Linked DNA regions of Tribolium castaneum. The protein of the gene in region 2 purifies or fractionates together with the protein of the main gene of each other region. This does not show direct contact. Links are inferred from orthologs where the notes say so. Each region holds a gene or a part of one and is shown on either strand. Other genes may lie near its edges.

Region 1 (4,376 bases), on a different chromosome or scaffold from region 2:
TGCACCAACTGTGCACTCGGGGGGCCCTTGTCCGTCAAAACGTGTATAACACGCGTGACCAAAGTTTCCGAGCCTTTGGGACACTCCTCCACCAGTTTTAGAAGCTCAGGTGAGTCCATCCCCATTGATCTGATCGGGGTTTCAAGCAGACGTAGAATAATCCGTTTAATGTTGGCCCCCGTCTGTACGTAAACCTTAGCCAAGTCATGAATAAGACTCTCATTGGCTGGCAATAGCGAAATATACGGAATAAGACAAGCTTTTATAAAATCATCGCCCCAAGTCTCGCTCTTCAACCTCCCTTGACTAAACCCACACAAACTCTCCGGCGGCCTTTGCAACTTCAAAAACTCCAAATTCATTCGTGCAAACTCCTCAATCACCAACCTCAACTCCACCTTCTTGTGCAACTCCAAAACGTGTCCAATGGCACACTCTCTTACCACGCTCAATTCGTACGTCGTGTACGAGAGGAGGGCGTTGAGGAACATCAACTGTTTGGGGGGCTTCCGGACCGTCAAATCGTGCAACAACCCCAAAGCTGCTGTGCATTTCTTCTCGTCTCGGCACAACTGGTGGAGCTTATCCAAAGCCTCGTCTGTTATTAAAGGCGCTTCCAAAAACAATCGACAGAGCACTGCTGAGTCGTGCATACAAGCGTTTATAAATGTGCAAAGCAAGATGTTGTAGCTTTTGTCCAGTTTGGTGTCTTTGCGTAAAGGGGGCACTCTTGAGAAGCCCTGCAGTATTCCGTACTCTTCAAAAAGCCACGCCAGGGCCAGGTCTATGTGAGACCGTAAGTCTGATAGGAGAAACGCCAACACTGTTTGTCTGACAGTGGGGCTAAAGCAGGCTGCGATTGTGGTGATTAGTTTTTGGTACAAGCATTTTGCGGCTGTTTTGTCCGCGGTTAAAAGTCGGTTTATGGACCCTATTAACAATTTCTCCTTTGTTTCTTTCTCGATAGGTTTGGTGATTTCGGACAGTTTCAGTGTCTTGATTCGGGGAACTTTTGCTCGTTCCTTCTTCAGGAGCTACCAAATGTGTAAAACATGTTGTAAAACAAATAGAGGCTTCATTATATTTTTTTTTAAGAATAATTACTAAAATTTCTTTGACCTCACAATTACGATAAGTTATCAAAACATAACTTAAAAAAAATACAGGATGCGTGATACATAACTTCTCAAATCATCCGAACCAACATAAGCTAACAGATAAAGATAAATACATAAATAAATAAATAAATAAATAGACAAATATTTGGTACAATGAATTACATCTTATCTTTTCTTAAATACAGCTGAAAATGTGAAATCTGAATTGCAAATTACTGTTTCTGTTTTACTTATTATTATATTATTTGTGTGCAAAAATTGTTTTCTTACCTTTTCCTTCTCTTCCTTGTCCTCTTCCTCCTTCTCCTGCTGTCTAAATTCCTCGACCTTTTTTGCAAAACTTTTCGAAGACGGCGAAACCCCGGCCTCAGTCAAATACGTGGCAATAAGTTTTGTCAAAACATCAAATTGGCCAACTTTTCCACTATCGACATATTTGCCATACTCTTTCGCAAAATCGGGAGACATTGTAGCCGGCAGTTTACTCATAGAAGCGAAAACCATTTGAACCGCTCTTTCCAACGTGAAATTTTCAGACACAAAGTTCTCATTCAACTCTTGCAGTGTTTGCGAATCACTGTCATTGGTGTCGTTATCGAATTCAATTTGAGGATCAAGTCTAGGTCTTTTATTGTAGATCTGAAGGGACTCAACTGAGAGAGTCCTCTTGCAATATTTCCGCCGCTCGTCGGGTTTCGGTACCATTTTAAGAATGTCTTGCTGGGAATAACCTGAGAAAAAAATCCTAAAAAATTTTTTTGCGTAAAAATAAAACGCACCTAAATCGGTGAGCATTGGGGTTAATTTCTCCACAAATTCGTAAGCCGCTGGGTGTTTGATAAGTCCAGCGAGTTCGGATTTTAATTTTTTACGCACGGAATTCACTTGAGTTGTTGTTAGAGTTGGAGGTAGGTTATTGTAAAGTGATTCAATAGCTGAGACAACTCGAGACATAAATTCGGCCCGATTTTTTGCAATGTTTGTAACAACGCCCAGGCAGGTTAACAAGTTGGCACTGCTAATATGGGGAGAGCCAAAAAATTTTAAAAGTAACTCAAACAAGGTACTAAAAAATTCAATTAGAAATTTGCGAATTTAAAAAAAAATAAATACTTTGCTTCCTCTTCTAGTTTTCGCCTCCGCGCCAATTTTAACGTCAGAGGAACATCATCGAGTGAGAAGTCGTTCGGTTTCTTGTTCTCTTCCTGGTCGGGATAAGTTTGCAACAACACAACACATTCTAAAAATTTCACTGAACTAGTCCTAATGCCGTCATTGTCACTATCAATCATATTTGCAATTTCTAATTTTATGGCAGACAATTGCTTCCAGGCGTTTTCCATTTCTTCTGTAATTACAGAAGCCTTGCATAACCAGGCCAACGTTTTGCGATAAATACTGATTAAAGCTTGAATTACGCGCTTTTGCACCGCTATTGACTCATCACATAGTAGCATATGAAGGTTTAGCATTACTTTAGGTAAAAGAGACTCGCGCATTTTGCTAAAACAAAAGTTAAGTAACCAATTAAAATGCATAAAACCTACCATAACTCTTCAATAAAACCCACTAGCGCTTTTTTCACGTCCCCATTCCTATCAGTCGTGAAATTAAGCATGTTTTGTAAAAACTTTGGCAGCAAATGGGGCGACTTCCGAATCAAAACTTCTTGCAATTTGTGGAAGTATTCAAGCTTTTCTGCAGCAGAGCGGGACACTGCAGCGCTATTTATCCATTGGGTCACCTAAAACGCGTCTCTTTACTACCGAAATCAACTAAATCTCGGTTTTTTACTAAATCCTCGTCGGAAACTTCGTTCATGGTAAAATCCATGTCGAGAGGATTTTACAACCAAAAATGACGCAATTGTTGCCACTAAAGCAACGAAATTTCGAAAACAAAGCTAGTTTTATCTAAAGCGTTAAATTAATTGAAAATGAGAGCCAATCATCCATTTTTGGAAAGCCAAAGATTGAGGTTATGGCAGAAGTGACGTGAACATGTTACCAAAAAACAGTAACTTTTCCGCTTTTTGTTGGCGACTTTTGCTGTCAAAATACTATTGATGTGTCAAAATAATAAAAAATTATTAAAATACAATGTAATTGCTAATTACTTGGAAATTACAATACAATAGATTAAGTAACTATCGAGATGGAATCGAATACGCCATCCGAAAGTGGCAAGAAAATCGTTTTGGAGAATTTATCGAAAGAGGAATTGGTTAAACGGTGCGAACGGCTTTTGATTCTCGCCCAGAAGGCCAAACAGGCGAAGGACGCGCTCCAGGAGGAAAATAACGAGCTGAAAAATAGGCTAAAATCGGAATCTGGAGATGCCACAACTGCAATTATCGAAAATTTGACCCAACAGAAGTTGCAGTTTGTTACCACGATTGAAGACTTGAAGAGCCAAAATGCCGCTTTGGTGAATAAAGTGCAAAACTGCACGCAAGACGCACGTCTGTGTGAGGAGAAGGATAGGCTTGAAAGCGAGAATATTTCGTATAAAAGGCAAATCAAGCGTTTGACGGATGAAAATGAGCAGCTGATTACGCATCTGGAGTCTCTGGAAAAGCAACTCGAAGAGTGCAAAAACCTGGGACTTGAACAGCAAAATCAGCTGCTGATGTTGGAAGAGGCGAATCAAAAGTTACGGAGTGATGACACAAGTGATAAGTCTGCAGAGTTGCAGAAGATGCTTAGTATTAGTTTAGAGGAAGTTAAGAAGTTGCAAGCTGAGAATAACACAATGAGGGAGAAAATTGACGTGCTCAAGACGAATCTGGGGGAGAAGGATAAGAACATTTTAACGATAGGCCAAGAGTTGCAGGAAAAATTGAAATTGGTCGAGGATTTAGAAAAAATCAAAAATGAAACAAGAGAAAATGTGGAGTTGGTTGAGAAACTTAAAGGGAGACTGAAATTTTATCACTCAAAAGTTGTAAAACTGGCCGGTAATGTGAAGGTTTTGAAGGAAAATAAAAACGAGGTTTTGCGTTTGCTCAAAACGTACTCACATCAAGTGGAAGAATGGAAAGAACAGTTGGGTGTAGCTTCAAAAAAGTTGTGCCAAGAAATTAGTGATATCAAAGTACAGAACTCTGAATATCACAAGGAAATTGAAGGTTTGAAAGAAAGTAATGCAAAATATCTGAAACAACTTGAGGCACATAAAACCGACGACGAGAAAAGTAAAGAACTTGGCGAGTTTGAGAGAATTTCCAAAGAACATAAGAAATTGATTGAAGAAAATCAA
Region 2 (3,119 bases):
TAGTACTTGGATGGGTGACCGCTTGGGAACACCGCGTGCCGTTGCCTCCTTTTTTGTTTTATAACGCTTTAAATAAAACTTTAGGACAGTTAATCTACTCTGAGGACGAGAAAATGTTCAATGAGAGAAATTTCATTTCTCTCACCAAGTTTAATGGTATAATGTACCTAAAAAACTGCTCCTGTAAGATAATAGTATATTATATTATAAGAGATAGAAATGGATCATTATATGTAAGTGAGAATTTGACACACGAGTGCGCTTGTGCTCGAGTGGGAGTGTCCCACGAGCTTTAAAACGGTATTTCGATCACGTGTGATATACGACGTTTTATCTTACACGTGCATTAGAAAAAAATCCAAAAAATTCAAGTAAATATCCGCCTGTAACATTAGCATCAGTTTTCGTAGTGATGAAATGAACAGACTCATTGTTTTCTCCAATTTTCTCTAGATTTACTCACTTGTGAGAACAACTCTAACAGCTTTATCTCACCTCACAAACAATGGTATAATGTACCTAAAAAACTACGCCTGTAACCTAAGAAAAATAATTAGATTAATTTTTGGAAAAAGGCGAAATAAATCTACTCGTAAAAATTGTTGTTTATTTTCCTATAGAATAAATACAATAGTTTGAATAACTTTAAATATTATTTAAAAACGATCACCACTCTTATTGATCACCTTGTCCATCCTGATTGCTCTTGGCCTGTGACAAAAACGCCAAGTGCCCTTTAGGGCACCGATTTGCGTAGTGTCCCTTTGTACCACACTTGTAACAAGTAACATCTTCCAGCTTCTTAGGCAACATTTTCTGCAAATAAGAGTTCTGAGGCTCATAATGATCATTCTGTTTTCGATTCTCGTCATTTAAGGCGTCTCTGTTATCACTATTCATCTTATTACAATGTATCGCCTTGTGTCCATGTTCGTTACAAAAGTGACAAATAATAACAGGAGTGGCTTTCTTGTCCTTCTGCACCTGATCAGGGGGCGCAGGCAACTCAAACCTTGGGTGCATATACTTGCAGTTTGGCCCTTCGGGGCAAAAGCCTGCCAAGTAATTCGTACACAAAACCCTGCGCACGTGTCTGTGACGACAGTGGGGCCCATGTCGACAAAACCCACGGTCATACCAAGGACAATCCTTGATTTTACTCTCAGGGTCTATGTGTAAAAACGGACACTCTTTATTGTGACAAGCGTTAAATCTCGAATAGAAGTAACACTCGGGCATTTTTGTCATGTCATACTCGTGTAAAAACTCGCACTGGTCGCCTTTCTTGCAAAGACCTCTCAGCCAGTGTTTGCACACAATGGTTCGGTCGCCTCGCACGTGACGAAACGGACATTGGGGGCCCTTTTGACAGCCTTGTATTGAAGTGTAAAACTGACAAACGGCTGCAATTGATTCTGAAAGCAAAAAACGAGAAAATTATATTTTCGACATAACCTCACTTACTGTCCATTCCGGGAAATGGTAAGGGCAAAGCGCCGAATTGCTCATCTAGAGCCACTTCAATGTCGAATTTTATGTGGTCCACGTTGGCCACAATGCACTCCATTTCGATATTTGTAGTTTAATATTACAAAAAATGAAAACGCAACACCTTTTATTTTAACCACAACAAAATCAACTATTTGACATGTAGTCCTGCCACCATAGCCTGCCACCAGTTGGTCTAGATTGGCAGCTCTGGTTTAGTGTAAAAAATTTCAAATTCAAAAAAAAACTTAGCAAGTTTACCGTGTTCCAATCTCTGGAAAACGATACAATAATATAATAAGGAACGGCTTTAAATAAGGAAAGTAAAAAATTAGATGATCCGTTGATAGGCAGTCCGTATAGTGTGTTGCCTATCTAAAAATTACCAAAAAAAATTTATTTGCGAAACTCAAAATTAAGTGTAAATATACATTGCGAGTCAATTGTGGCTTATTTCTGAAGATTTTTTGATGCAACTAGTAATACTAGGATAATACTGGTTCCAGTTGACCACTAAATTGTCAAAAAAAAAAACAAATTTAATCCACAATTGCATTGTTCTGGGTAAAGGTTGTTCCATATCTGGTGGCGAACTGGCAGTGATATAAAAAAAAACTCTTGAAATGCACCCACTTCATTAAAAGAATGAAATAAAGGGGGTGCATTTTTTTCTCTAAAATTTACTTATTTACTTTAACATAAATTTTGAGGACGAAGATACATAGAAATATTACTATTATTATATTGTTCAATATTCTTATCTTTTTATTGTGACGCCTGTGGGCATTTTTTTTTTAATTAAACATATCTATCTTCAATGCTAAAATTCAGTCATTTTTGGCAATGTCAGTTCGCCACCAGGGGCCCGTTTCATAAAAACTACAAGTTGATTTTTACAAGTGACAAGTAAATCACTTGTAAAAAGTTTTATAAAATAGGCCGCAGATTTGGAATAAGCCTTATTGTCAAGTTTGTGTAACAGTTTTCCTAAAATTTCATTATGGACTAATTAGCGTTTCAAAATGCCAACGACGCCCTTTACCGAATTATTTTTCTAAATAACGTTTACAAAAATGTAAAATAGTTGAAATAATAAATTACATCAGCTAATAATTTTTTGAAGCGCATGAATAACATAACAAATAATTTTTAGACAAAATGCGACGTTAGCACTTCAATAGTCTTGAAACAGTTAGTATGATTTAAAAAATAAAAAACCACTAGGAGCCATTTGTTGTATACAAGGTCCGAAAATTGATTGTTTTGATAAAAATACATTGTTTAATGTATAGAGAATAACGACAATTATAAAAAAATAACAACTATTATTACTAAGATGAACAGGTGCATTTTAGGTTTTCAAATAAAAAATCGTTAAAACTAAAAGGCTTTAAAAAACGAATAACACATTCTTAAGCTCGTTATTCGAGAAAATAATTATGGTCAAAACCCACATCCCGCTATATCATTTGCTTTCGACAACAACAAAGTTAATCAAAAGTTGACATTTTAGCGAAATTTAATCTAAAAAAATATCTTCCTTATTACACAGAGTGATTCAAAAGTGATGAACAATCTCCCGGAAGCTGATAAAGGAAGCAAACTGAATTAAAAGTTCCTATGAGCCTTCT

Evidence for each region.
Region 1: the proteins of Cpsf4 (region 2) and Sym purify together in Homo sapiens (affinity purification with mass spectrometry; 4 studies listed by BioGRID and IntAct, counting the BioPlex papers as one, with this or other methods). This does not show direct contact. The link is inferred for Tribolium castaneum from reciprocal best matches to the Homo sapiens genes CPSF4 and SYMPK.

The regions. Positions count from the first base shown.
Region 1 is NC_087398.1:8,156,138-8,160,513, reverse strand, and holds the start of Sym (symplekin), read right to left. Parts: upstream 3,100-4,376; 5' UTR 2,952-3,099; coding exon 2,913-2,951; intron 2,863-2,912; coding exon 2,666-2,862; intron 2,622-2,665; coding exon 2,232-2,621; intron 2,185-2,231; coding exon 1,898-2,184; intron 1,850-1,897; coding exon 1,389-1,849; intron 1,035-1,388; coding exon 1-1,034. Other genes in the region: GRIP and coiled-coil domain-containing protein 2-like, read left to right, coding at 3,273-4,376. UniProt on the Homo sapiens protein: Scaffold protein that functions as a component of a multimolecular complex involved in histone mRNA 3'-end processing. Specific component of the tight junction (TJ) plaque, but might not be an exclusively junctional component. May have a house-keeping rule.
Region 2 is NC_087394.1:10,089,779-10,092,897, forward strand, and holds Cpsf4 (cleavage and polyadenylation specific factor 4, 30kDa), read right to left. Parts: upstream 1,626-3,119; 5' UTR 1,568-1,625; coding exon 1,465-1,567; intron 1,416-1,464; coding exon 676-1,415; 3' UTR 594-675; downstream 1-593. UniProt on the Homo sapiens protein: Component of the cleavage and polyadenylation specificity factor (CPSF) complex that play a key role in pre-mRNA 3'-end formation, recognizing the AAUAAA signal sequence and interacting with poly(A) polymerase and other factors to bring about cleavage and poly(A) addition.